Canis lupus familiaris: one gene and its partner. The protein of the gene in region 1 interacts with the protein of each later gene in a biochemical or structural test. Links are inferred from orthologs where the notes say so. Each region holds a gene or a part of one and is shown on either strand. Other genes may lie near its edges. The genes, in order: SORBS1 and FLOT1.

What was found.
Region 2: the proteins of SORBS1 (region 1) and FLOT1 form a complex in vitro, tested with the Homo sapiens proteins (2 studies listed by BioGRID). The link is inferred for Canis lupus familiaris from reciprocal best matches to the Homo sapiens genes SORBS1 and FLOT1.

Annotation. Positions count from the first base shown.
Region 1 is NC_049249.1:9,236,656-9,251,639, reverse strand, and holds the start of SORBS1 (sorbin and SH3 domain-containing protein 1), read left to right. Parts: upstream 1-6,456; 5' UTR 6,457-6,600; intron 6,601-9,820; exon of another isoform or gene 9,821-10,044; intron 10,045-14,984. UniProt on the Homo sapiens protein: Plays a role in tyrosine phosphorylation of CBL by linking CBL to the insulin receptor. Required for insulin-stimulated glucose transport. Involved in formation of actin stress fibers and focal adhesions.
Region 2 is NC_049233.1:659,012-673,807, forward strand, and holds the start of FLOT1 (flotillin-1), read right to left. Parts: upstream 8,168-14,796; 5' UTR 8,028-8,167; intron 8,006-8,027; exon of another isoform or gene 7,884-8,005; intron 7,735-7,883; 5' UTR 7,721-7,734; coding exon 7,678-7,720; intron 7,377-7,677; coding exon 7,301-7,376; intron 7,216-7,300; coding exon 7,125-7,215; intron 6,887-7,124; coding exon 6,743-6,886; intron 6,620-6,742; coding exon 6,500-6,619; intron 6,410-6,499; coding exon 6,314-6,409; intron 6,090-6,313; coding exon 5,937-6,089; intron 359-5,936; coding exon 177-358; intron 1-176. Other genes in the region: IER3 (radiation-inducible immediate-early gene IEX-1), read right to left, coding at 9,153-9,413, 9,494-9,703. UniProt on the Homo sapiens protein: May act as a scaffolding protein within caveolar membranes, functionally participating in formation of caveolae or caveolae-like vesicles.

The DNA of each region.
Region 1 (14,984 bases):
AGCTTGGGTTGTAACAGATTTTGGGAACCTCATTTTAGCATGCTTTCTGGTTCTGCTCTACTTCTAATCAGGGTCAAATGAAGGAGTCCTTGGTTCTTTCCGCCTAAGGGAGGAGATCGTTTTATCTGTCCACTTCTCTCTTGTATAAAGTACAGTTACCTTCAATCCCTTGGCTGTAGAACACAATTCTTTCAGATTATCTCCTTCTTACAGGGCCAGATAAGCAGGTAGGCCACATAAGCACCGCTGAGATAGCCAGTTTGAAGAGGGCTCCAGATATCCCTGGAAATAGATGACTTTCTGAGACTTCTTGTCACAAAGAGCTGTTGTATGCCTGGGTGAATCGCTTGGTTCTGCCTGATGGAGAAACAGATGGTAAGATCCCTAAGGGAATGGCACGATGACTAGAGGTGGTCACTAAACTGCTATTCACAAAAGTGGGTTGAGGTGACCCAGGTTTAGGAGACAGGGCAAACAAGTTTGGGGACAGAAGAGATTTGCTGAGGTCATGGAGAAGGGGCTGTTACCTGGTGGGCACACCCGCCATCTTTCCTCCTGCCCTTTCCCCACACAGCACTTGGCATCTCCCCTTGATAAATGCTGACAAAGAGTTATTAACCTTCCCAGGGCATCTATGTGACTCAATTTGGCCCTATGTAATGAGTTCCTTCAGTGAACTCTTCCAATCACCTCTGACAAGCTTCCAACAGCTTCCAGAATGTCAGTTATTCCCTTAACACCATTGTTGTTGATTTTTTAACCTTGTTAAGGTTATAGCAGTTTAGTGAGGCTAGTTGCCCTGTTTCTGAAATTGTGTATTTTTTTTTTTTTTTGGCCTCAGGACATTCAATGATCTCTCTTCGTCTTACTTGCCATCGCTCTTACTTTCTCTTGCTCTCCTTGAACCACCCTCTTTTTCCTCCTCCCTCCTTGTTCCTCCTTCTTGGCTTCCTCTGTTTCTCCAGCTTCAGTCAGAATGCCTGTCTCAGAGTTGGCAGCTGGATCCACCAACCTTAAAAGTGCTTTCCTCAAGGAAATACTTCATTGCCTAAATTACTTCAGAGTAGTAGAACTTCTAAAGTAAACCCAGCATATTCTAATCAATGAATCCCTTGCCCAGTCAGATGGCCCCTCTTCTTCTCCTCCAAAACTCCTGACCTAGTCAGGCCCTCCCATTAATTCAGTGACAGTGGACAGACATGTGTTTCTGTACTTCTGATTTCTCTCAAAGGTCCACCCAGGTCAATTGTTTGACATTTTAAATGTCTTATTTTGACTAATTGCAGAAAAAAATTCTCAAAACCAAACCATATGTACTTGGTCAAATACAATTGCATTGAATTAGAATTCTATTCTATTCCGTACACTTTTTTTTTTTTTTTTAAGGAGAAGCAGGCTCCATGCAGGGAGCCTGATGTGGGACTTGATCCTGGGACTCCAGGATCATGCCCTGGGCTGAAGGCAGACGCTAAACCGCTGAGCCACCCAGGTGTCCCCGTACACATGTTTTCATCCAAGAAACAACACAAGATATGCTGGAGCAAGTATTTTTATCTTCTATATTTTTTAAAGATTTATTTATTTATGGAGGGAGAGGGGCAGAGGGAATCTTCAAGTAGACTACCTGCTGAGTGTGGAGCTCCATCTCACAACCTGAGCTGAAACCAAGAGTTGCATGGATGTTCAACCTAATGAGCCACCCAGGTGCCCCAGAGCAAGTGTTTTTAGATTGATAAATGGAAGTCTGTCACTAGACTCTTGGGGTTACTGGTTCATGCTCATCTCAGTGCTGCTTTCTAAGTCATCACCATGGCTCCTCTCATTTCTGGTCCCATAGACTTCTGACCAACCTCCACCCATTTCATCAAACTTCCCTAAGGCAGTATCTGCCAGTCCTGACCTCCAAAGAATGTGGAATTCTTGGGTATGGCCTTCCCCTATCTTCAAGTCAGTTCTGTGCCCTTAGGCATGAGAGTGAAAACTCACTTTTTCTCAGTAATTAACCAGCAAGAAATAAGAGAATCTTTCTTTCTTTCTTTCTTTCTTTCTTTCTTTCTTTCTTTCTTTCTTTCTTTCTTTCTTTCTTTCTTTCTTCTTTCTTTCTTTCTTTCTCTCTTTCTTTCTTTCTCTTTCTTTCTTTTTTCTTTTCTTTTCTTTCTCAAATATTTTATTTATTTATTCATGAGAGACACACAGAGAGAGGCAGAAACACAGGCAGAAGGAGAAGCAGGCTCCCTCCCTCCTGATGTGGGACTCGATCCCAGGACCCCAGTATCACGACCTGAGCCAAAGGCAGACGCTCAACCACTGAGCCACACAGGTATCCCAAGAATCTGTTCTTTAAGAAAGTTTTGCTCTTTCCACTACTTGCTTCGCTTTCTTCAAGATGTTACAAAAGAAACTAGGTACAAATGGTCACCAGAGCTTTAGTGATATATCAGCTAAACTCTTTGATACATAATTCCCTTTCTCTTAGCCTATTTTCTTCTCCCCCATCCTGGCTTTCTCCAGCTGATATTTCTGAAAGTGATTATGGTTCAGCTTTTGGGTAACTGGGGAAACAAGTTAACAAAGCCAACACATTTTAGGAAAGCATCTCTCATGACTTGGCCTCCTAGTAATATTAGTAATAATATCCACTTACCGAGTGCTTATGCGTCAGGCAGTGTATAAGCACTTTATATGCATGCTTTCATCTACAGCTCACAAGTAAACCTTGGAGGGTTGTGTATTCCTCACGTTGCAGACGAGGGACCCAAGAGCTTACATGAGATTCCATATTAGGTGTTGGAACCAGGATTCCGTCCACAGGCTTAACCACCATGCTCACTGCCATCTCTAGATCGTCTTGTTTACTTCCCTCTCCTGCAGTCTGTGTGACCCTAAAGATGGAGGAAAGGCTGACAACTCTGGCATTTCCTCTGCAAAATTCTCTCTCTTCCCCTAATTCCTCACAGTTACGGCCTGCTTGGGGGATGCTTCCTACAGCATGTTTATGATGCCAGTTTGTGTGCTCAACTCTCCTGCCTGATACTGTTATTTCTCTCCAGCAGCGGAAGGACTGCTGGGAATAATCTGATGCACATGAAGAGAAAACGAGGAGTTACTAATAAGATTAAATTAAGTTTAAACACATTTTTAACAGTATGTAAAGCACAGTGCTAAGCACTGTTGGAGATGAGCAGACACAAGCCAGGACCTCATGGAATTTACAATCTGGTAGGTAGAGAGGATGAAGAATAGGACTATACACATATGTACGTGAGTTCATGCCAAATATGGTAAATTCCATGAGGAAGGAATAAGTGAAGGACTGTAGGACTGGAAGGCAAGAATGCTCACTTTCCCTGGGAACCAGGAATGAGCATGTGATATTAAGATATGGGATGAGATGGGGTGCCTGGGTGGTCCAGCGGTTGAGCATCTGCCTTTGCTTCAGGGTGTGATCCTGGAGTCCTGGGATCAAGTCCCACATCGGGTTCCCTGTGGGGAGCCTGCTTCTCCCTCTGCCTGTGTCTCTGCCTCTCTCTCTCTCTGTGTCTCTCATGAATGAATAAACAAAATCTTTAAAAAAAGAGAGAGAGAGATGGGACGAGAATGGAAAGCCCTGAGCTCCAGGCTTGGTTACTGATACACTGAGAACGGCTTGGTGTTTCTCCTTCCCAGGACAGGCCCCAGAATTTACAAGACACAGTACAAAATAAAAATGTGAGGCCCCTCACTTGACATGAGGCATTTCAAGATGGTTATAAACCAAGAGCGGGACCCTTCTCAGCACAGGGCGGACACCCACGGAGCTGGCCTTCCCTGCCGCTGCTTCCTCAGGGGTTACCTTTGGGAGGTAGGGAGTTGGGTCTCACCAGCCCAGCAGCACAGGGCCCGAGACTCAGATGAGTCAGTGAATGACTGGAGACAAGAATTAATTGACACAATTATGCCTGCTGATTTCTTGGGTGACTTTCAGTGTTAAGATGTTATTAGACCGTGACTCTGAATACTTTTTTGGAGGAGACATTTGAAATGAGCCTTGAAAGATAGTAGGATTTTTCTTTCTCTCTGTTTTCTGTTCTTCTCTTCCTCCTGTCCTTCCAGTATTTTTCCATTTATCTGAAAACATACAGGCTGGAACCAGCAGAGTTTGATATCTGAGGGATGACTCAAAGACTTAGACTTCACTTAAGATTCCTCAAGGCACTTTCCCACTTATAGCGATGGCCTTGTCTATATAGAGAATTTCCAGAGGTACAGTCCAGTTTTGCATTTTATAATTATTTTGTTTTATTTTAATTAAACAATTTGATAGATGTTTATGATGAAAAAACAGAGATGAGCAAAAAATAATTACTTGCAATCCCATAGAACTCTAATGGGATTGCAGTACTAAACTAGCTTTCAATCTACTTTCCTGTCCAATAAGGTATTTGGTACACCTTTACGGGTCAGGGTCATTTTTCATGGCTGTGTGGTAATCTGTCATATGGTTGTACTGAATACATATTCATATGCAACTAAAACTGGACATTTGAATTGCTTTGATTTTTTTTTTTCTATTCTGAATGGCGTTGCCCTGAATTTGTGAGCTAGGCAACTTATTTAGTTTCTCTACCTATTATTTTCCTCTTCCGTGGATAACCTCAGGATAACAATTGGACTCCATCCCCAGGGTTGCTGTGTGGTGTGAACTAATGCATGTAAAGCTCTCAGTGCAAGTATAGAATAGTGCCTAGCAGACTAGATGTGCTTGATTAAAAGTCATGTTATTACTTTACAGGCCCAGAAGGAACTGCCTTGTCTGGATGGTGGAGTAAGCCAATCGTGGAGCCTGGGAAGCCTGATTCCTGATCTAGTCTTCTTTGCAAAGCAGCAGGACAAGGTGAAAGTGGAAGGAGACATGGGCTGGGAGCTCCCTAGACTGAGTGGTTTCCTGGTGGCGTCTTGTCTCCTCAGCTGTACAATAAGCTCCCAGGTGGCTATGAGTGTTCTAACTTTTTTTTCTTTACACAGAAGAGGACAGCCGATGCTCAGCAAAAACTTGTCACCGTTCCTTGACATCTAAGAACCTTAGCAGATGTGTTTCCTATCAGCCCATGCAGTCATTAAGGCCTGTCTTTACCTCCCCACATACAGCTTGTTAACTGGGAATGTGCTTTGGCTGAAGATTCTTGTCAATGGCAGCTGACAAAAGTCAGTTTTGTTCAGCCCAAGGGATGACTGCTCTATCTTGGGGGATGTCTCAGGGATGCTAGAAGCTAGGCGTGGCTGCTTGCGGCCCTGAGACCTTGGGCAAGCAACTTCCCCTCTCTGATTCCTTTTCTGTAACACTGAGCGGGTATCGGAGGAGGTCAGGGTGTCCAGCAGTTAGCTCTGAATTCAACCTAACAAAGGACGCTTCTCTTCCTTGCATATTACCTTCTCTTATTCTATTCACTCAGTTTCACACTGTAGTGATTTTATTTTTTCACTTGCCTGTCTCCCTTACTAAAATGGAAGCCTCATGAAGGGAAACTTCACTGATTTTTGCTGTAACCCCAGGGCCTATCACATGCCTGTCATGGAGTCCCTAAACGTGTGTTGCCTGAATGAAATCTCCGCGCCTGGGTTCAAATCCCAATTGCGTTGCTTTCTCTGTAATCTTGAGCAAGCCATATAAACCTCAACGGTTTTTCCACTTGAAAATGGGGGTGTGTGTGTCTGGGTGTCTCAGTGGTTGAGCATCTGCCTTTGGCTCGAGTGGTTATCCCGGAGCCCCGGGATCGAGTCCCGCAACAGGCTCCCTGCACGGGGCCTGCGTCTCCCTCTGCCTATGTCTCTGCCTGTCTCTCTGTGTCTCTCATGAATAAATACGTAAGAAATCTTAAAAAAAAAAAAAAGAAAAGAAAATAGATTAGTGACAGTGCCTTTGTGATGAAGCTCTGATGACCAAATGAGAAAACATCCAGGAAGCATCAAGGACACTGGTACAGAGTATAATTATGACAGTAGCAAACATCTACGGCCAGGCACTATCTAAATGCTTGACGCAGGTTAAGCGTGTTCATCCTCACTGCATCCTACTGTTAGACCATTTTACAGATGAGCAAACTGGGCACAGGGGTTCAGTAGCACATGCGCTCAAGACAGGTTGGCTTTTGTCTTTATGCCCCGGGTTCCCTCCCAGCTGTCCGCGGCGGAGCCCTCGGAGGGGCAGAGGGCTCGCGGGGCCAGCCTCGGGGCTCGCCGACCGCCGGCCAGGACAGGAAGAGTCACCGAGCATCCGCGGGCCCGCGCCCTCCGCTCACGACGCCGCGGGGCCGGGCGGCCGGGCGCTTCCCCGCCTCCCACTGGCGCACACGCCCCTTCCTGTCACGGCCGGCCCGGCCCCGCCCCCGGCCCCGCCCCCGGCCCCGCCCCCGGCCCGGCCCCGCCCCCCGCCCGGGCGCCGCCGGAGTGGAGGGTTCCAGACGCATGCTAATGAGGGGGCGGCCGCCGCAGCCCATTGGCCGGCCGCGGAGTGTCGGTGAAGTCAGCGCCGAGTCCCAGAAAAACAGCGCGGGGCCAGCTGCGGCGTGTAGTGCGAGTGGGGCAGGACGCGCGCCGCCCGCCCGCCCGGAGACCCGCAAGGTAAGCCCGCGCCAGCCGCCCGCTCGCCCGCCCGCGCTCGCCCGATCGGCGGCCACGGCGCGGGGGGCGTGCGGCGGCCCGGCCCCCGCGGGCGGCGCCTTTGTTCCGCGCTCGGAGCTCGGAGCTCGGAGCTCGGAGGAGGCGCGTTTAAAGGGCCAGCTGTTGGAAGGACTTGGGGGACGCCCTCCGCCAGAGCATCCTCCGCGGTCACGGGGAGAGCCGTGGTTCCCCCTCGGCCGGACCTTCCTTCCTACGCGGTGGACCCCCTGTCTCTCCAGGAAAGTTCCCCAGGGTGCGGGGGGGGGGTCCCCGGGATTCAGGTTTTGTTTTATTTTCGGTGGGTGGGGGTTCGTACGATCATGGCCACTGCTAGGAGACAACGTCCGCCTGCTTCAGGCTGGCTGCAGTATGGGTGGGTGGAGGAGACATCCAAGCCCGGGTAGGTCTGCGCTGTAAAGTGAAACTACCGAGGAGGGGCTCCTCTGCAGCAGCCAGAGGAAGAAGCCGGGAGCGAGCGGCAGGATGGAGGCGTCCAGGTGTGTTCATTCATCGGCATCCCCCGGACCGGAGGGCGGCAGGAGGTGCGCCAGGACGATCCGTCTGGCCTACGACCCGCCTGAAGGAGCGGGGGTGTGTGGGTCCGGGGACTCGGTGCCATCCGCCCGAGCCGCTTCGTCCCCCGGAGTGACGGGCATCTTGCTAGGCAGCTCGCCACCGACAGGGACGGAAAAGCAACTCCTTTCCCCGAATTCCCGGGCCATCCCTGGCGCCCACCTGGCTGCTTTCCGATGTGGCTTCCTTGATGAGCGGTAGCGCCATTCAAGATTGGGGGATGAGGCTTGAAGTCATTGTGTACCTTCCATGGGGGAATGTACTGTCGAATCCTGCATCTCCCCTGTATCCGCTGCTGTAAGATGGCTTTGAAATTCACCAGCGCATGCTTCCTTTGGGCAGACAGAATTTATTACGCTATTACATTGCTACATAAAAGCAGAAGGGATCCCACTGAGTGTGGCTTCTTTTATCCAGACCTTGGGTTTGCCCAGCATGTTCTGGTTGAACCTTTGGATTTTTGTTTTAAAATGAGCGCTGGGATGCTCCTGTTGTCACAGGGCCGACCTGCTGAAATTGCCAGAATTGATTTCACTGCCAATAGGAGGGAGGTTCATTTAGAGATATCATGGAACCTATCTGGCAGTCAGGCCTCTGACATCACCCCCCCCCCCCCAAACCTTCGCATCCTTTTTCCTCTCATAAGTGAAGGCCAGGGATGGCTTGTCTGTCTCCACTCTCCTTGGTTTTCAAGTTCCTCTATTTAGATTCAGTTTATTTATTTATTTATTTTGATTGGAAAGGCAGCTTGGTGGTGATTGAAGAGAAGGGGATGGTTTAAAAGTGGGGTGGGCAGCAGATGGGGACAGCAGCCTCAATGACAAAAAGCACATGCTGGACATTTGGAGACTCCAGATCTACAGCCCTTAGAGACACAGGTGAGATAGATGGCTGTCTACCCACTGAGAGGTGTGTGTGTGTGTGTGTGTGTGTGTGTGTGAGCGAGCGAGCTTGAGGGAGGGGTGGAGGAAGAGGATGCTGCCAGCAATTTTCTGCCCCACCCTCTTGATGCTGCCTTAAATAGCTCCTTGCCAGCCAGGCTCTGCTGTCTCAGGCTCTTGGCCTGAGGGGATGGCAGAGAAGGGTGGGTCTGTTGGCACTTTTGCTCTGGGCACTTTAGAGTGGACGGTTAGCAAAGGGGGTAGTTCTGGGGTCGTGGAGAGCTCATTTCTCAGCTGGAGGGCCCAGAGTTGAGTTGTCTCTGGTGACTTCCCCTCATGGAGTATACAACTGAAAAGAAATGCTTTCTACCCTATAGGGCAAAGATATGGAGGGTATTGTCATTTTCCCTTCGACCCTACCCCCTGTTGGCCCTGTCTTTTACCTGTTCTCTTTCATGGTAGTTGGAGAGTTTCTGTGAACTTTTTTTAAGGGATTGGGAATAATGGGGGAGGGGGGAGGTAGTGAGGTTGGAGTTCTGGGAAGGGATGAGCAGATGCTTCTTACTGGCAGAACAAAGAACTGTTCAGCCTCCTTAAAATAGGGTTCCATATAGATAGTGGAGTCTGGGGTTTTCTTTGCAGAGCATGAATAGGCAGGGTTCAGGAAAGAAGGCTTTTATTAGGCCACATTGGTCTGGTCATCCAAACTTAGCTCTGGACCCTTCTCTGGACATGGAAATAGATTTGCTGTATAGGGCACTCACTAGTCATTTGGGATTTAATCTGTCTGTAAAAGGAAATGGATGGTCCCAAAAAACTTTGGTGGAGGAGCTCTGGACCAAAGATAGGACAGCTGGCTTTGAGCCAGGGCCACCAACCTGCTTTGGGATAGTGGCTTCTACTCTCTGGTCTGTGTGCTTGTTGGAAAAAAGGTGGAAGGCTCTGGAGGGTTCCTGACAGCGTTACTGTTCTTGGATTCACAAGTCCAGTTTGTAAGAGCATTTTAAGATTGTTTTGTTTGTTAAACGATGTTAAATTCGTAGTACTGCTCAATGGCATGAAAGAAGTATTCCAGGACTCGGGCTTCTGGTGGCTTCAGACGTACCTTTTCTTTGATTAGTATGATTTATGAGGATTTACTGTACGTCCATAATTCAGAGCCAGAATGGCCTGGAGTGGGAGGCACAGACCTTCTGAGGTGCGGTGGGCTGGGGAGACTTGAATTGGCAGGATGCTAAGGAAAAAGAGCCTCTAGAATCCATTCTGTCTTCCTGTGTATGTTTAACTCCCTTCTTTATTTATGATTATACAGGTGAATGTTCAGGGATTTAGAGTATGAGCCTTGGAAGAAAACCCTGATTGCCAGGTTTCACATTCCCCTCCCCCCCACTGAGGAATTTGAGGGATTGGGGAAGTTTGGTGATTTGTCCAAAGTCACACAGGTAGCAAGATGCACAGCTGGGGCAGGAGGCCAGGCGGGGAGTTTCTAGGTCCTGTGTTCTAGATGTAGTTCTTATTCCCTCCTCCTCTGATGAGATTCTAAAATGGGATAGAGAAAGTGAGGAGGAAATGGGGCTGAGGAAGGGAGAGATTGGAGGCAGGTCAGGTGGAGAAGGGGAAAACACAGCCTCCAAACTTGGAGGAGGGAGGGATGGAGCTGAAATGGGGCTCTGCCAGCGGTGAAATCAGGTTTCGCCAGCTCTTGGAGTGAAGGAAGAGAGGAGAGGCTTGACTTAGAGGATGGAGTGGGTGGACCGAGAGGCCTGTCGGGGCTGGGGCTGATGTGGGGTCTCCTTAAGACCTCTCCCGTTGACCCTCCAACCGCTGAGTGTGGGAGAGGCTGCTTTGTTTTAGGGTCAGCTGAGCTGAGGCCTTTGGAGCCACTGGGGTACATGGAACCTGAACATGCGGGAAGTCAGGTGTGCTGCTGGTGATGCAGGAGAATGCTGAGGTGAGACCCAGTTATGCTGAAGTCCCAGGTTTTTTTTTGTTTTGTTTTGTTTTGTTTTGTTTTGTTTTGTAAATGCAACATGAAAGAAAGTTCTCTGTGGTATTTATTTTCAACTCAAGCAGTGTTTTCTCCTCTGTCATCGGTATTTTGCATGTTTTATGGGACCCTGCTTCCCATCCTCTCTTCAAAGGGCAGGCTTGGAGGTAGCTGATTCAGGAGGTGGCTGATTCACTGAGCTGTAGCTCACCTGCGGGGAGCTTCAGGCCTGGGACAGAGCTAAAGCCTGGGAATGTTTCAATGAGCAATTAAGGAGCTGTGAACAGTGGTTAACCTGATCAGTAACCATTCAAAGGCAAGGATGAAAGGTGCTAATACTTTGAAGTCTATAGCCCAAGCCAACAGCTGGCCTGTATGATGTAGTTTCCTTTGGCTGGATGTTTTTTTCATGCCTCGGAAGTGTCTGTGGATTCCTTGAGTTGTTCCCTCTTTTTGTACATGGAGAGGCATGCGTGTCTGTGTATCTCCCGTCTTCCCATTCTTGCTTTCCCATGGCTTCCTCCTCTCTACATTTCTTTCTCTCTCCTGCTCTTCTCTTTCTTCTTACCTTCCTCCCCACCTTCTTTCTTTACTTTCAATAATAGAGCTTTGTAATGTATTTTTTTGTAATGTATTTTAATGTATTTACTGTTATTAAAATTTAATCTTCTCTGTTCTTAATTTACAGTCAGTTGAGTTCACTCTCTTTCGATGTGTGGTTATGTGTTTCACACACAAAACAAACAACCCTAACCCAATTAAATTGCTTTTTACTTCTTTATGTGTGGCCCTCCATTGATTCTGCTCCCCACCCCCCCCGGCCCCTTTTCTTCTGGGGTTGGTAATAGCTCTTTATAGAAAAAGAAATTTCCAAAAAAAAAAAAAAAAAAGAAAAAGAAAAAGAAATTTCCCAGCTCACTGTCATGTGGATATTATTGTTTTTATAACAAAAACAGTTACAACAATAGAAAAAGTTTCCACCCCTGTATTGTGGACACAAGGGACACCCTCTCCCAAGAGATGTGCCCTATTTCTTGACTTCCTTCCATGGAAAGAGTGTCTGCGATGTATTCTCCAATAGAAGGCTGTACTGTAAAAGTTCGCGGTGCTGATGGTGAAGCTGGGGCTCTTGTCTGCATTCTCGTAATGCTTAGAGTCCAAGAGGGGGGTTGGCTTAGGACCAAGAGGGTACATTTAAGAATTCATTGTGATGGTTTTTCTTTGTTTTCCTAAACTGGGCTAACCCAACTGTCAGTGTAAAGATCCAGATCGCTTTGGAAAAGAATGAGGTGTTTCTCAACTTTCTGATTCATTTCGGTTGGGACCCAGGTTAGGCACAAGGAGGGTAGGTATCCACCCACAGGTTGCAGGTGTGAAGTCCCAGGTGCTTTGATGGATGCATGCATGTTGTAGTGCTTTAAAATTTTCTTCTGACTCAGATTAATTACAGAGAAGATTGAGTCTTGGTGCTCAGTAGTCAGCAGGTAGTTTAGCATCTACAGCTGGCCTTGCAAGCAAGTAGTCACCTTGAAATCTCTAGTTAATATGTTAAAAATTCACATGAGTTTTGTATTCTACTCTATAATATGTCAGTGCTGGGTTTAGTATAAAGGTATTTGAAATGCTTTACTGTTGGGGTGCCTGGGTGGCTCTTTCAGTTAAGCATTGACTTCGGCTCAGGCTGTGATCTTGAGGTCCTGGGATGGAGCCCCATTCCAGCCACCCACTTAGTGGGGAGTCTGCTTCTCCCTCTCCTTCTGCCCCTCTCCTTGCTAGTGCTCTCTCTCTCTCTCAAATGAATAAATCTTTTTTTTTTTAAAGATTTTATTTATTTATTCATGACAGACACACAGAGAGGGAGAGAGAGAGGCAGAGACACAGGCAGAGGGAGAAGCAGGCTCCATGCAGGGAGCCCGATGTGGGACTCGATCCCAGGTCTCCAGGATCCGGCCTTAGGCGGTGCTAAACCACTGAGCCACCCGGGCTGCCCTCAAATGAATAAATCTTAAAAAAAATATGTGCGTTACTATTGAGTACAAGTGATGATCCAGGAAAATGTTGTGTTTATATTGGGCTTTCAGTTGTCCATGTCCACTTTAATTATGCACAGCAGGTCCCAAACCCCAGCTGGAGAAGCCAGCAGTGGGGCAGGCATCAGACCTGGTGGTGTGGAGAGCTGCCCACTGCCGCCAGCTCTTCCAGAACCACTGAATATCCCAGTCGCTAAGACCTCATCCACGTCCCTAAAGACTAGGTTCTCCCTCCCACCAGGGCTTGTTCCCTCACCACCAGGCCTTTTTCTGCTTTGCTTGGGTGACTCCTCCTTCTCCTTTCAGACCCTCCTCACATATGAAAGAGGTGCTTTTCTTTCTATGTTCACCAGTAGCTGGTTCCCTGTCTCTCTTTTCTACCAGATTGTGAGACCTGGCAAGATAGAATCTGTGTTTTATGTCTTTTTAAATTCAATTTTAATTTACATCAAAGTCTTTATTTATATATATATGTCTATATATGCGTGTGGATATATACTCTTAAAAGTGTATTTATATATATATACACACACACACATAAGTATATATATGCGTGTGTCTATACTTTTAAAAGTCAAGTAACACTGCAAGGCTTATAAAGAAACGCTGTGTCACCCCTTCTCATTCCAGGGATTACTCCCCAGAGTCAGTCACTGAATGAGATTTTCTATTGCTGCAGTAACAAATTACCACCAGCATAGTGGCTTGAAGCAAAATACATTCATATTTTGGTTATGTAGGTTAGAAGTCAGAAAAGGTTCTCACTGGACTAAAATGAAGGTGGTAGCAGGGCTGTATTCCCTTCTCGGAAGAGTCTTTTTCCATGTTTGCATCTTCTAGCTTCTAGAGACTGCTTGCATTCCCTGGCTCCTGGCCCCCTTCCTCTGCCATCAGAGCTGCCAAAGGCTTGTTGAATTCCATCCCATTGCATCACTCTGACTTCTCACATAGTCTCTCATCTTCCTCTGCCTCACTTCTTTCTCCCTCTTCTGCTCTTATTTTATTATTTTTTAAAGATTTTATTTATTTATTCATGAGAGACCCAGAGAGAGAGAGGCAGAGACACAGGCAGAAGGAGAAGCAGGCTCCAGGCAGGGAGCCCGATGCGGGACTGGATCCCTGGCCTCCAGGATCATGTCCTGGGCCGAAGGCAAGCACTCAACTGCTGAGCCACCCAGGCGTCCCTTAAATATATATTTTTAAAGTTATCTCTACACTCAACATGGGGCTTGAACTTAGAACCCTAAGATGAGCATTACATGCTCTACCAACTGAGCCAGCCAGGCTCCCCCAGTTTATAATTTTAAAGTCATTTATTTCTTGTTTTTCATTTTATTTTTGTTTTACTTTTTGAGAGACCTCTTCAGCTTCATTCTTAGCCCTTTTGAATTTTCAAATTTATGTTTTCATGGTTTTGCATGAAACATGCTTACATGTTTACTTTCTAGAACTCCCTAGTTTGAAGCTCACTTTTTTTTTTTTTTTAATAGTATCTTGTTCTTGTTTCATGGGTGCAGTAAGTTCACTTAGGTTAGGTTTTTGTTTTTGTTTTTGGTGTTTTTCTGCTGTTTTCTGCTTTGTCTTTCTTTCCTCCCAGCCCCTTTTTTGGCTTGTTTCGGTTATTGAATTTCCCATTGGAGGTGTTCTTCCACTGATTCTTGACTGTCCATTTATATTTTAAGAGTGCCGATTGGTCATTTGTGTGACAAAGAAGAGGGCTTGATTTCATTGTAGGGGTCCAGGAGAGAGCCTACTTTATGTTTTATTTTTTAAAAGATTTTATTTATTTATTTATAGAGACACAGAGAGAGAATGAGAGGCAGAGACACAGGCAGAAGGAGAAGCAGGCTCTATGCAGAAAGCCTGACGTGGGACTCCATCCAGGGTCTCCAGAATCACACCCTGGGCTGCAGGCGGCGCTAAACTGCTGCACCACGGGGGCTGCCCGAGAGCCTACTTTAAACATCAGTGCCTATACATCTTTTCTCTGGGGTGTTGGGTTTTCATGGAGAAAAATGTGGCCTGGGGGTATAATAGCTCTATGCCTTGCATTCTGGGAGCCTTGATGGGGAAAGAGGCTGGGTACCCCATTTGGTATGCAGATTTTCACTGGGCTCTTTCCTGAGGTTGCCCCCTGCTCTCCCTTCTTATCTCTGCTGTGTCCCTCCCTCCACTGTGTCTGAATCAAGAGTCGCCCCGGTAGTTTGCCTAAACAGTGCATCTCTGCCTTCTTTTCCCTGGGCTGCAGTGGCTCATTCAACAAACTTTTAGCAGACTCTCTTTTTAGCCCCTGTCCCGTTGCCTCTTAGCCCTTGGTGCCTCCAATTCCTGAGGCTTCTTCTGTGTCTGTGGCTTAAGCCCCCACTTGTTTAGTGTTTTCCTTCCCTGCTTGCACTTAGCAGAGCAGAAACCTGAATCAGCTACTGCAGGGCAGTCAGCGGTCTGTCTTCCAGAGTTTTGTTGCTAGATCCCATCTGCCCTTGTCTTCTTTCCATCAAAAAATCAAAGCTTTCTCCTGTCCTTTCAGTGGGGTTCTAGGAGAGAGTAAGGATAAATACGGGTGTTTAAGCTTCTGATTTGACCAGAAGTTTCATCTCTTTATCCAAACCCTTTGTTACCTGATAGATGTAGTGTATATTTTGGAGAAACACATGTTCACATGTTTCTAAGATGGCATTCATACAGTTAGTCATGAGATTTCAAGAGAGTCCCAAGCATACAGTCTTACAAAAATAAATCCATTGTTTATTCTGAGATAGACGTAGTAACAGGCAGCGGAACCTGCCCTGCTGCCTGTGTGGTGTAGGATAACCACAGTGAGGCAGCGTTGTAGGCTGTTGGGCTGGAGAGTGACAAAGCTCAGGTGCTATCTCC
Region 2 (14,796 bases), on another chromosome or scaffold:
ACAGAAAGGAAGAGGAGGGAGGGGCTGAGGAAGGGCAAAAGGCAGGCCCTGCTGGAGAGACAGAGGCTTCTGTAACCTGAGTTCCATAGGAGTTCAGGTAGTGAGGGCCTCCACTCTTCACCTGGGGGGAGCCAGATGAGAAAGGAGCAGGATAGGGCCTGGGAGCGGGTGTTTACTTCTCTGCTTCAGCGAGGCGCTCCAGCTTGTAGCGCTCAGCTTCCGCTGGCTTCCGAACTCGGGCCTCCAGCTCCTTCTCTCGCCGGGCGATCTCCTGTTCCTGCACTGCCACCTGCTGGGCCCGCTCCACCACCTGCACCTGTACCCGCTGTTCCTCGATCTGCTGCTTAGTTTTGGCCACCTGGGAAGGAGCAATGCTCAACCTCAGGGCTGAAGAGCAAGTTCCCAGGAACCACAGAGAAAAGCCAGGGCAAGGGCTCCAGGGTGAGATATAAAAACAGAGTAAGGGGCAGCCCGCGTGGCTCAGCGGTTTAGCGCCGCCTTCAGCCCAGGGCCTGATCCTGGGGTCCCGGGATCGAGTCCCACGTCAGGCTCTCAGCATGGAGCCTGCTTCTCCCTCTGCCTGTGTCTCTGCCTCTCTCTCTCTCTCTCTCTCTCTCTCTCTCTCTGTGTGTGTGTGTGTGTATGTGTTGTGTGTCTCATGAATAAATAAATAAAATCTTAAAAAAAAAAAAAAAAACAGAGTAAGGACATGAAGTCAGTCCCTGGTGGGTTCAGCCAGCCCAGTGGAGTCCATTTCCCATATGGATCCCAGTTGTGGCTTGAGGGATGGCCTGATCCTCCTCAGAGGTATCTTCCAGGCAGCCTGACCATCAAAAGCTGGCTAGGGCTGGAATCCAGTCCCTGTTCTCCCTCAGGCCAGGCTAAGTGTCCCTCTTGTTGAGCTCCCGTATTAGTCTATTTCTCCACAGCGTCCCTCTCTAGAGTCTGAGAACCTGCAGGGCTCTGATGTGCGGTGGCATCTTCCACCTCCAGTCATTCAAATCCACCCACTTCTCTCCATATGAGCTGCTGTAACCGTCTTGTAAGCCACCACCAAACTCACCCTCCCTGCAATAGCTTCCTACTGGCTTTGGTGGTGGTGGGGCATGTATATATCTTTTATCTTTTGTATATGATACAAACTCAAAAAAAATGGACAATGAGAATCAAGGTTTCCTCTACTTATTTCCTCAAACTACCTTGTTCCTTTCCCCAGAGGCAAGCATTGTGACCAGCTTCTTGTGTCGTCTTCTTCCAGGGAGATTCTAAGCATTTACAAGACTGTACATATAGAATTCCTCTTTTTAGGCAGATTTCATTTTCTTATTCCTGTACAGAGATCGGAAGGCTCTTGCCAAGATTTTGGTGAGGAGAGGCACCAGTAGAGGAACATGCTTCTTTCCTGTCCCACTGCTCCAGCTCAGCCATGTACCATCATCCCTGTGGGTCTTATCAATAGCAGATATGATGCCCCTGCCTTTACTGCACTCATCTGTTCACCCAGAGGAAAGGTGCTTCTGGATATGGCACCCTGTGCTGTCTTTGACCCTAAATTTGCAAACCAGTTCCAAACTGAGCTACTTGCTCTCTACCCCAGTGTGCAGGATCTCTCTCTATATTGGAGCCCCTCCTGCCTTTGTTTAGGCATCCTTTTTGATGAAATAACCCCCAGGAGCTTCCTTGGAAGAAGTATATGGGCAATACATTTTTTGAGATCTTGCTTTTCTGAGATTGTTATTCTACCTTTCTACTTGAATGACAATGAGATTGAGTACAGGTTAGAATTCATTTTCTATCAGCATTTTTGAAGGCACTGCTCCATGGTCTTCTAGCTTCTTGAGAAATCTGAAGTCATTTTGATGCTTGGCCCTGTGCAATCTGTTCTCTCTCTCTGGAAGCTTTTATATCCTTTCTCTGTTCTCCATGTTCTGAAATTTCATAGTGTAGTTGTTTTTCATTCATTGTATTGTGCATTGAAACAGTCCAATGTAGAAAGTATCAATCTAGAAAGTCATACCTTTCAGAACAAACATTAAAAAAATTTTTTCCATTGATTTTCCTACCATTTTCTTTGTTCTGTTCATACTTTATGATTAATAATCTGTAGACTAGGATTAATAAATTTATTAAAGTCGGAATTTATTTTTTTATTTTATTTTTTATTTTTTTTAATTTTTATTTATTTATGATAGTCACACAGAGAGAGGGAGAGAGAGGCAGAGACACAGGCAGAGGGAGAAGCAGGCTCCATGCACCAGGAGCCCGACGTGGGACTCGATCCCGGGTCTCCAGGATCGTGCCCTGGGCCAAAGGCAGGCGCCAAACCGCTGCGCCACCCAGGGATCCCAAAATCGGAATTTATTAGAATTAGATGAGTAAATCTGTAGATTCATTATAATTTCTTTCAATATGATTTGCCCCTCTCATTTCTGTCATCTTACTGATTTCTAAGAACTCTTTTTTTGTTTTCTGTTTTATGCTCTGATTTTCTGGATGTGAATTCTTCTGTCACTGAGGACATTTAAAAAAATTTTAAGCTTTCTTCTCCCTGCATAACCTCCAAATTGCTTTGCTGTTTGTGGTTCCAGTCTCGGACTTTAACATTGCAGTATTCCCTCATATATCAGGTAATCTTCGATGGCCTGCTCACAGTGAAGGAGGTCTAAAACACTGAAACCCAGCATGTGGGTGAGGCTTCATTCTAGGGTGATCTGGACAAGTCATCTGCTGAAGAACCTATGATTCAGGATCTTTGGATTGGTTGTGTTCCCCAGCACAGTCTTCTGATGACTTCTTTGGAAGATGGAGGGTCTTGGGCCCAAATGGGGTAAAGGAGTTAGGGGAGACTGTCAGCATTTAGCATTCAATGGTCACATTGTGCCCGTCACTGATAAAATGATTATGGCCTTATCGATTACTGGCTTCGTCGATTACAATGGCTTTCTGGCTTCCAAAATGATACCATGCTTTCTGTTCATCCTGATGCTATTCTCTCCATCTGTTTTCGCCTTCTTCCTCTTTTCTGAAAATCACTCTGTGGTTTCAGTGAGGTTTTAGAGAGGGAGTGCAATGAACTGTATTTATTTAATCCATCATCTTTGAAAAAGCTTCCAACTTATCTTCCTGCATCCTCTCTTGTCTTCTGACCATCAATTCTCCACACAACAGTCAGACTGATCCTCGTAAAAATGTAAATTAGACCATGGCACCTCCCTGCTTAAAGTTCTCCAATAGCTTTCCACTGGGTTCTGAATTCCCTTCTAAGTCTCCAACAGGGGCACTTGAACCCTATGACCTGGCCCTGCCTGCCTTGCCATCTCACTCACAGCATACCAGCCCCACCAGATCAGAATCCTCCTCTCTGTTCTTGGGATACATCAACCTCTTTCGTATCTCAGGGCCTTTGCAGACGGTGGTCCTCTGTCTAGCCACATATGGCTATTTATATTTAAAATTAATTAAAATAAGTAAAATTTAAAATTCTGTTCCTCACATTTCACTAGCCACAGTTCCACAAGCCACATTTCAAGCACTCAACATCAATGCACAAATTTACAGCATTTCCATCATCACAGAAAATTCTATTTGAACAGCAATGGCCTAGAATGCTATTGGCCCACAACTCTACATTGCTGGCTCCTTCTCATCTTCCAGTTTATCTCATAAATCACTTCCTCACTGAAGCTTTCTTAGATCAGCCCCAACCTAATATAGTATCTCTCCACTGTTTTTTGCATCACTCTCTATATTTCCTTCACAGCACTTACACAAGATAATTAGAACCTATGAAAGTTATTTACTTGCTTTATTAGTTATTTCCTGTGTTAAAATGTAAGCTCCATGAGGGCAGGAATCTTTTCTGCTTCTTTCTTTTTTTTTTTTTAAGATTTTATTTATTTATTCATAGACACAGAGAGAGAGAGGCAGAGACACAGGCAGAGGGAGAAGCAGGCTCCATGCAGGGAGCCCAATGTGGGACTCGATCCTGGGTCTCCAGGATCACACCCTAGGCTGCAGGCGGCGCCAAACCGCTGCGCCACCAGGGCTGCCCATCTTTTCTGTTTCATTCATGCTTATATCCTCACTTCTAAAACAATGCCTGAATGGGTGACGGGCACTGAGGGGGGCACTTGACGGGATGAGCACTGGGTGTTATTTTGTATGTTGGCAAATTGAACACAATAAAAAATAAATTATAAAAAAATAAAAATAAAACAATGCCTGGTACATAGTAAGCACTTAATAGCTATTTGTTGAATGAGTCCTTATTTCCCAAGCAACCAGCACAAAGTCTGGCACAAAATAAAGAACTGGTATAACTGGAACAGAGCCAAAACCAGCCCAATCCTTTAATTTGCAGAGGAGGAAAGCCATATTTAGGTTAAGGACCACACAAGCTAATTTCTGCTATGTTAATGCTTCTCAAACTCCAATGTGTACATGAATCCCCTAGAGATTTTGTTAAAATACAGATTCTAAGGGCACCTGGCTGGCTCAGTCGGTAGAGCACGCAACTCTTGATCTTAGGGTCATGCATTCAACCCCCATGTTGGGTGTGGAGCCTACTTTAAAAAAAAAAATGCAGACTCTGATTAAGTTAGTATAACTGGAGCTTCAGATTTTGTATCTAACAAGCTCCACAATGATGCTGATGCTGTTGGAAGGCAGACCACATTGAGGAAAAAGTGCTATGCCACACTCAATGACCTGTCAAACCACCAGGAATTTAACATCATAACTAGAGATGCTTTGTACTTCATTATCCTTTCAGCCTATACCAACTCTTGGCAAAAACAAATCTCACGCTATTGCTATCCTTTGGGTAAAAGTCTTAATGTATCGTTGATTCTCATTATTCATGGTGGATCTGCTCCATAAAGTAGCCACAAATACTGCACTAACAAACACTTATTCTGTTGTTAGGGAAAATATACGGTTAGGTTCCTATGTGCCCCTGTTCACAACATTTCGTCAACAGATCAGTATTATGTCCTTGCTTTATATGTGTTTCTGATTAAAGATACCTTATGCAACATACATGGTTAATTCATTAACAATGAAGTCATTGCCAACAGTACTGTAACCCATGCCTGAAAGAAGCATGTAATTTCTTTATAAGGCATATCACAGCCTCTTTGCACTTAGGAACACTTAATGCTTTAGCGGGATGCTTGGGGGTCATTTTAAACAGCAAAATCACCAACAAAGTACAAAAATGCAAAAAAATGTAGCAGTCACTATACGGTGAAAATGACAGTGTTTACAGTACTGACACTGTTTACACTACGAGAACTGCAACACGAAGGCAGAACATCTCGTTCACCTTCAACTGCACATCAGGCAACTCAGATTTTTCAATGCTCTGTGCATGTCCACAAATGATCACAAAGGTGCCACAAGTACTGTTTCTGGGGTTACCAGTAAATTTTAGTGAGCAGGCAAATTCTCAAATACAGAATCTGTAAACAATGAGGACTGTCCATGCCTCCTCGCAATATCAAGGGCTGCCCATATCTTACTTTGCAGGGTTCAAAGCCCAAGTCCCCATTTCCAAGTCCCCAAATGGCTGCTGTGAGCTCATGGGAAATCAGAAAAAGGTGCCCCTTCCCCTAGGTGGATGCGGCACCATTCACCTATGCCGGAATGCAGAGCATGGTGAACAGAGCACCAGCTAGACCTTAGCTCTGCTTTCCCCCTCATCCAGGGGCCCTTGCCCAGTCTGCCCAAACATACGATCCCATCCTACTGACCATGTCCCTTCTTGGCCTCTGCTTTTCAACCGAAATGCTTAGGTCTTTCAAATCTTCCTCATATGGAGAAGTTGGGTCAGAAATGTAGAGCCAGAATAAAGGGATTAGAGTTAGAACCTGGGAAAGTGTGGAGGGCTAAAATGGAGGGCTTGAGAGGAAATAACTGCCCAGTGTGAGAGGTCTGACCTGAAGCTGATAGGCCAGGTCAGCCTGGGCTCGGCGGGTGTTGACCTCGATGTCATATGCAGCCTTCTTTAGCTCATAGTCTCTCTGCGCCTTGGCCATCTCAATCTCACTCAGGTACTGAGCAGACACCTTTTCTTGCTTAGCTTTGGCTTCCTGTCCACACAGAGATCAGGGAGGAAGTTAGAGTAGGGAGAGGAAGGCCCCAAGGCAGAGAGCCAGCTCCTCACCAGGCTCCCCTGCCCATGGCCTCATCTCTTTCCTCTGCCAACCCCGCTCTCTGAGTCCTCACTCAGTCGTGCCCCTTCCATCCCCTCTCCCACTGCATGCCCAAGAAGCCCATGGTGACCAAGTGAGCCCTCAAATGGGATCCAGCTCACCCGGATCCCAGCGTCTCTTTTGGCTTCTGCTTCCCCAATGCGAGCATCTTTTTGGACTTGAGCTGTTCTAGCTTTCCCTAAGGAGTGCAAATAGTCCTGAGGAAGAGAAGCAGCAATCAGAATCCTCAGGAGGGCTTAAGAGATAGGAGCAGGGAACTGGAGAGGATCAGCCCCACCTAAGTTTACCTGATCATCATGAATGTCCTTCAGGGTGTAGCTAACCACACTGATGCCCATGTTGACCAGGTCTGAGGAGGCCACCTTGAAAACTTGCTCTGAGAACTTCTGCCTGTCCTTATAGATTTCCTAGGGTAACAGAATGGTAGGAAGGAGGAACTGAGGCTCTCAGTCTTCTGGCTACTGTTTCCCACAGACTAGCTGGGTTCTTCAGGGCATCTCTCCCAGATCTTTCCCTGCCCTCAAGCCCACCTCCACAGTCATGTGGGCCATGATAGCCCTCTGGTGGCCCTCCAGAGTCTCCAGTGCAATGTGGGCAATCTCAGCCTCCGTTTTCCCCAGGAACATCTGGCAGGCAGCTGCCAACATCTCCTTGTTCTGCCCCTGGATTTTCACCTGTAACCAGAGCAGGGATAGGGAAAGTGTGGTGAAGGCCTCCTGAAGCCAAGTAGCAAGCAGGAAGAGAATGGAAGAGTTAAGTGCCTTGGGAGTCCCTGGAGAAGGTGAAACTTAGCAGAGAAATTTCTTTGTGGCCAGAGGTTGGGGAGGCCATGGTCAGAAGATTCTTAATGTCTGGGGACAAAGAAGGGGATGAAGGAATGGACTTTGGGGGAAAAGGCTCTGAAAGCCTCACCTGGGCAATGCCAGTGACTGAGATGGGGACCCCATGGCGAGTGTAAACCTTTTCACTCTTGACATTGAGGGTCAGTGTGTTGAGAGAGATCCTACGGGAAAAAGAAGGAGTGGACAGTGAGGAAAACAGGAAAGAGAGAAAACTGGGGTTCCCCTTCCTGGTTCTTTTCTACCTACCTCTGGATTTGCTGGATGCAGGGCAGGACAAAGACACGTCCTCCGGCCACCATGACTGGGGGGCTTCGGCAGAAACCTGCAAGGTGAGGGGGTAGCAGACTGCAGTGGCAGGAGTAGGGCTAGAAAACGGAAGACTGAAAACGTGGGGTGGGGGTTGATCCCAAAAGGGAAATCTGGGAGTCGAAGAGGAGGCAGTCCAGGCCTTGTTAGGTAGCGCTGGGAATCACAAGTGGGGTGGCTTGCAGCCATGGGGAGGTCGCGGGAGGGTGGTGTGTGGACAGAAGGCCTGGACCTGGGAGCTGGTGGGGAGAAGGGTACGGGGCAGAGGCCGGACCACAGGGCTTGGGGGCACTGGCTGGGAAGAGAGCATTACTTACCAGAGACCACCATGGCCTCATTTGGGCCACAGGTGAAAAACATGGCTCAGGCTGAAGCTGGAGGAAAAGGGAGAGAAAGCCTTTGCGGGCGGGGTCTGGGGGAGAGCAAATTCTCTTTCCGTCAGTCTAGCCCCATCCGCAGCCACCAGGGCCCGGTCCCTTCCGAACCCATGGGTCCACTAAGGCATTTCCCGGTGAAGTCCCACCGATCGCCAGGGCTCTCCCCCGCCGGCTCACGGCCACTTCCTGCTTTCGGGGAGGACGGTTTCTCGATCCTCGGGTAAAGCGCTCCTGCGCCTAGAGGCCCCAGCCCGTGCGCCGCCCTCCCTGGCCCTCCGCAGCCCGATTACCTCTCGGCGCCCCACCCGCCTCCCCGCACGCAGGCCGGGGCGAGCAGCGGCCGGGGAACGGCGGGGAACGGCGGGGAACGGCCTCCAGCCAGCGCGGAAGGCGCCCGCGCCCCTCCCGGCCCCACCCTGCGGCAGCCGCAGGCCCGCGCCCGCGCCCCTCCCCCGGCGGCCGCCCTCCGCCCCGCCCCCTTCCCGGCAGGCCGCGCCCGCCCCGGTCCCGCCGCCCTCCCCCAGCCGGGAGCTCCGCCCCGGGACGCGGGACGTGACCTCCGCGGGCCCGGAGGTTGCCTCATTTCGGGTTTGCCCCGCGGGGCCTGGGAGGCCGCCCCCGGCTGCACCCGGCCGCCCGGGGCGCAGCGCCTGCTGGGGACGCGGCCCCCGCCCCTCCCGCTCGCCGCTGGCGCCGGGAGGCGGGGACTAGTGGGGAGTCGCCGCTTGCAAAATACACTCGGAGGACTACGGACAAGAAGTCGACTTTATTGGTGTTCACGGAACATACTGGACGGCCGCGCAGCCGCCCCCTGGCCGCCCGCCGACCTCCGACACCCCAGCCACCCACTGGGGGCAACTTTGAGAAGACCGAAGGCCAAGGACCTCACCCCAGTGGTCCGCCGAAGCCTCACACGGCAGATCCAAGGGGCCGAAACCCCGGAGGACGAACACCAGCCCCTAAGCCCACGTGCCAGCGGCGTCCTCGACTCCGCCTGGGCGCTCCCCGGCCCTCCGGGTGCGCTTCAGCCCTGCGCGCCCGCCTCCACCTCTCCCACGAAGCTCAGCAAATACCGAGAGTTCTGCGCTTACAGCACGGGGGCACATCGCGCTCCCCTGCATAAGTTAAAATAAATATTACAGACACCCCTCCATCACCTAGGGGGACATTCATAAATACATATAAATATTAATTAGGATCAGTGAGAAATAAATTAATGACGCTCTTCCGCACCGGGCCTGGCCCCGGAGGGCCGGTGCTCGGCTCGTCTCCGGCGCGGGCTGGCGTCTCTGCTGACGTGCTCTCCGCTCAAGTTGCCTCGCAAGTCCCAGTTTGGGATACGCTCTCGCGCACCAGGTACACCTGGTGTCTATTTGGGTTTTCCGGTTCTTTCGGGGGGAGGTGGGGAGCTCGCGTTAGAAGGCGGCCGGGTGTTGCTGTAGGAAAGTGCTAAGGTCCAGAGCGTAGTCCGAGGGCGCAGAGGTCAGGTTGAGGGGCTCGAGGACCGGGGGCGCCGGGGAGGGCGCAGGGGGTGCGCCGCTGGGGACGTCCCCCCGGGCCAGGGGCGCCGGCACACCCTCCTCGGCCAGCAGAATCTGGCAGAAGATGACGGCGAGCAGGAGGAACAGGAGCCTTTTGGCCGGGTTCGGATCCTCGGCCGGGAGCGGGCGCCGGACCTGGGAGACAAGCAAGGGGACAGGTTGGCGGGACCCCGCGTCGGCCGCCCCCGCCCGCCGCCGGCTCCCGCGGTACCCACCACTCGCGGGTAGAGGACCCTACGGCTGCGCTTCCGATGCCCGCGGGACGCGCCGGGGCGCGCGGCAGGGGCCACCGCAGGCTCCGGGAGAGGATCGAAGGTGAAGATCTCGGGACCGGAGCCCCGCCGGGGCCCGGGGCTGGTGGACGAGACGGAGGTCGGAGCCCGCGGGACGGTCATGGTGGGGAGGGAGCTGCGGGAGCGACACATCGCGCGGCGAGCGGAGCGGAAGGCCGGATGCGGACCCGCGCCGGTGCCGAGCGAATTAAGGGCGCCTCAGACCTGGGCGGGTCCTCCTCGGCTCCTCCCGCCGCCGGGAGGGATGGCCAGAGCAAGCTGGAAATTCCGACGGTTAAGCAAAGAGAGGGGGTGGAGACTTGGTCTGTGCACCCCTAGGCGCCCAAGTGTGTGTGTGTTGGGAGTGTGGGGGTTGGGAGTGGGGTGGGTGAGATCCCGGGCTGCAGGCACATGTCAGGGCATGTGGCAACTAGGCAGGGACCACCGGATAGCTTAGGAGATGGCTGGGCCACCGGCCCCATCTCTGGGGAGGCAGGAGGACTGACCAATCTGGCCACGCTGGGACGATAGTCACCCAGCAAAGTCAAGGAATTACAGTTACACACGCACATTTATACACTTGTAGGTACACACAGAAAACACACACACACACACACACCTCAAGAGGAAAGTAGTTACAGAAATAGCCAAGAAGACAGAGAAATGAACACATTAGTACACGCAGACACCATGCTGCTGACCTCAGCACACATGTTGTAGGGGCAAAAAGAACGTCCCTTCTTTCCTTCTAGCTTCTTTGGCTGGTCTAATAATTAAATTGATACAAGATAGAGTAACAGGAGAAAAGCAGGTTTAATTACATACTTCGGGAGCCTGGGAAGCCATGAGATTCAAAGGCAATAAGGCAATTGGGGTTACATGCTATCTTGAGCTAAGGAATGGAACAGGAGCCTGGGGCTTCAAAGGGGAGGAGGGCAATTCACAGGAAGATAAGAGAAGATGCTCCGAGGCAGATGTTTGTTCTGTCCTGATAAAAAGTTATCTGTGGTAATAGCTGTCTTCATGGTTCAGGTGCCTATCTAAATTATTATTATTGTTTTTTTAAGATTTATTTATTCATTCATTCAGAGAGAGTGAAGAGAGAGGGAGAGACACAGGCAGAGGGAGAAGCAGGAAGCCCGATGTAGGACTGGATCCCAGGTCTCCAGGATCACACCCCAGGCTAAACCACTGTGCCACCGGGGCTGCCCCCTATCTAAATTCTTTTAGGCAGTTAAGGGAGAGAGGTAAAAAGCTCTTCTTGTGTGCTGGGTGTTGATTGCCGTCAGCACATTTTGGGGTGGCCTGGTCTGTTCCCCTTTAACATGCACATAACACATGTGCGTGCGGGCACACACATACACAGAGCAAAGGGGCAGAGACTTCACAGGGGCAACACAACAGAGCTACTACCCACATAGATGTATGCAGAAATGCTCACGTAGGGAAGGTGCTACAAAACAAAGGCAAGAGGTAAGCAACCACCCAGATTTGTCCCTTGCCATCAGATTTGTCCCTTGTTATTTTTTAACACAATTTATATGAAAAGAACATTTTAAACTGTGAGATGTTATTTAAGTGTGGTAGTAGTACTAAGAGAGAATTGCATATTTTCATAACTGCCTTAGAGACAGCTCCTCATGGACACAGTTTAACATCCTTTACTGGAGCCAGGCACCCCGTTAAAGGTCCTGTTGAAAGTACTGAGGTTGGTTTGAAAGTACTGAGGTTGGTTTCAGTGTATGGGCTGGTGAGTAGGGCAAGCCAGATTCAGCAGGCGGCTCACCGTATGCATGCAGAGGGGACCCGGACCCCGGACCCGGAGAACTCTCTGGAAGGTCTTTAAAAAAAAAAAAAAAAAGATTTTATTTATTTATTCATGAGAGACACAGAAAGAGAGAGGCAGAGACAGAAGCAGGCTCCGTGCAGGGAGCCCGATGCAGGACTCGATCCTGGTTCTCCAGGATCACGCCCTGGGCTGAAGGCAGACGTGCTTAACCAGAGACACCCCAGGCGTCCCTCTCTGGAGGGTCTTAAGACAACTGAACACTAAGTGCAAAGGAGGAGGGACCCAAAACAACGAATGTTCATGTCTGTCTAGTCAATAAGGCGAGGGTTCATGGAAGAGTGGCATTTGAGATGACTTTGAACAGTGGGTGGGATACCACAAAATCAGATGTGGAAGATGACTGTGAGGAAGAGAATGGGATCAGCAAAAGCCCTGCACTGGAAAAGTACAGGATGTGTTTGGGGAATTGCTAGAAAAACAATCTTACAGTAAGTTTCCTGTAAAGGAGTAGTGGGAAGTAATGATTCTGGAAAGGAGGGCAGAGTGTGGAGAGCTGAGCTGCGAGGCCAGACTAGATCCTGGATTCCGTGGATCATGAGAGATTATAAAAGGAAGGCAGTTCAAGCTGGGAACTAAATCGGATGACAAGTATGCCCTGCATGGGGAGACACTGTAATAGGGGATCAGAGGCTACTGGAAATGTTCAGGTGGATGGTAACAAGGGCTGGAGATGGGCCATGGCAGAGGGAGCCAAGAGGAGGAGTGGCAGGAAGCAACTTTCCTAGCCTAAGACCACAGGGATTTAGTAATGAGATGGGAATCATTAGAATCAGGGAGCATGGGGCAGCCTGGGTGGCTCAGCAGTTTAGTGCCGCCTTCAGTCCAGGGCGTGATTCTGGAGACCTGGAATTTAGTCCCACGTCGGGCTTCCTGCATGGAGCCTGCTTCTCCCTCTGACTGTGTTTCTGCCTCTCTCTCTCTCTCTCATAAATAAATAAAATACATACATACATACATACATACATAAATAAATAAATAAATAAAATCTTAAAAAAAAGAATCAGAGAGCATGGAGAGTTTGGGGTGCTGACTGTGAGAGCATGAAGGCATCAAGGCTGACTCCAGGGATTTGAAATGCATCTGGCTCAGGTCTTTACTCCAGATCGTATTATGTCTGGTGTACACAGAGTACACATATGATCTCTTCCACCACAGGCTGTGTCACACATGTGTCTGTGCCCTCCATAAAGCCCAGCACACTGCCTTACATGCAGTAGTTGCTCCACAGTCTTGTTAAACGAAGGCTGAAAATACAGAACTATACACACACATATAGTATTCACCCCCTGGCTGTGTCACCTCAAGCTTTGAGACATGGATATACTCTTTCAAACCCCACATACAAATTTACAGTATCTTTTTAAAATTTAATTTACAGTATATTAAGAACAGCTGTGACAATTCTTACACACACATCAAACAAGGAACACCTAATGGCATTTCTCAACCAAGGATGTGTGGGATGCAAACAGGGACATTCCCACGATTGGGCTTCAATTGATACATTATTGCTGTATATACAATCGCTTCCTGGGCCTCTATGTCGCTTGATTTTACACCTATTACTACTGTCTAAACTCATGTGTTACCACACTTCTTCCTGACCAGCATAAAACACACCTCCACAGAGACATGTCCCTTCCCTATACGTGCCTTCCACACCTGCCATCATTGTTTTTACACCCAAGCAGTGAGCCTGCACCTACTTACACCCTTATTCCAGGGCAAGCTGTACACTACACAATGATTAGCATGAATACATGAACTACTTACATGTACTGATGGCCCACATACAGGCTCACACAGATATAAATCAGGGGTGAGGGAGATGGTGATGATGGGAGAAGATGGCTTGGGGGGGCACCCAAGGTCAGGAATGCATAACTTGTTTATGATGGAAAATTTCTCTAGGGCACTTGGCAGGGGAGGGGAAATGAAGTGGGATGTCAGGATCTTATTTCACCACTACCTCCCACATCTAGAATCAGGGCCTCCAGCTGGGCCTAGTTATCTTCACTGTCCTCCTGGCACAGAGAGACCTTTCTTTGTGGCAAGACCAGAATGGGACAGAGAAGAACCAGAAATCTTAGACTGCTCATCATTCCTTCTCAACCAATGTCATCCCTGTTCCTGCTACCCTCAGAGAGCCAAGGCTCTGCATTACCCCCTCCTTGCCATGCAGGAAGCTAGGGAAAAGTTGAGAGTGAATCATTAAGCCAATGAAAGGTTGTGGGGGGGGGAGGGTAGAGCTGGAGGATGAGTTAAGGCCAGGAAGGACCAGGGCTGAGACCAGCAGCTGGACCAGTTCTCACTGCCCTAATCCTGGGGAGACAGGCCTTTGGCCCCTTTCCATTTCACTGCTCTCACTGTTCCTCATTTCCTCTCCATCTTCCCCAAGATTGCCAATGCTCCTTCCTTTCCTTCATTTGACCTGTGATCTTGACCTCCCACCAACGTCCTTCTTAGCCCCTTGTTCATGTTCTTAGAACTCTTGCTACAATGGGGCATCATTTTATGTATTTTTATGTATGTTGTTGTTTTGTGTCCCCCCACTGGAATATAATCTCCATAAATAAACAGGACCACATCCACTCTTTTTCTCATGATATCTTGGTAGTATCTCCAGTACTTGGCCTTTCACCTAGTAGGGGATTAATGTGTATCCTTAGAAACATCCCCTCTGAGGAGCTACCCCTCAGCCTTGGAAGTGTCTGTTTACCCAGCTGTGTCCTTTCAGAGGCCCCCTCCCGGGTTCAAATGCTTCCTCTTCAAAGATGGGATGCGGGATGCTCAACCATGGCACAGAAGGATCTGCCATTAAATTGAGAATAACTGTGCAGGTGATGGATGGCAAAGCACTGGCCCTCACTCCTTGGCAAAGGAGTGAATCATGCCTGATGGCCCACCTAGATAACTGCTACATTGCAGACCAAAGTCTAGAATGGGGGATGAGGGTAATGGGAACAAGACAGATATTTGGAAGTGAGAACATTTGAAAAGGGGAAACAGAGGTCTGGAGTCAGGGTGCTCAAGAAATGGAAACTAAAACCTCAGCTATACCCGGCATTTGGTAGATACTCAGTAACTTTGTTGACTTGAGATGGATTTGTGATAGAAAGGAGGCATGGTGTAACAAAAAAAGCATGTTAGGATCTGGTGGTGTTAGAGGAAACTGGCTTTAAATTCCAGCTCTGGGGATCCCTGGGTGGCGCAGCGGTTTGGTGCCTGCCTTTGGCCCAGGGCGCAATCCTGGAGACCCGGGATCGAATCCCACATCGGGCTCCCAGTGCATGGAGCCTGCTTCTCCCTCTGCCTGTGTCTCTGCCTCTCTCTCTCTCTCTCTGTGTGACTATCATAAATAAATAAAAATTAAAAAAAAAAATTCTAGCTCTGCTAC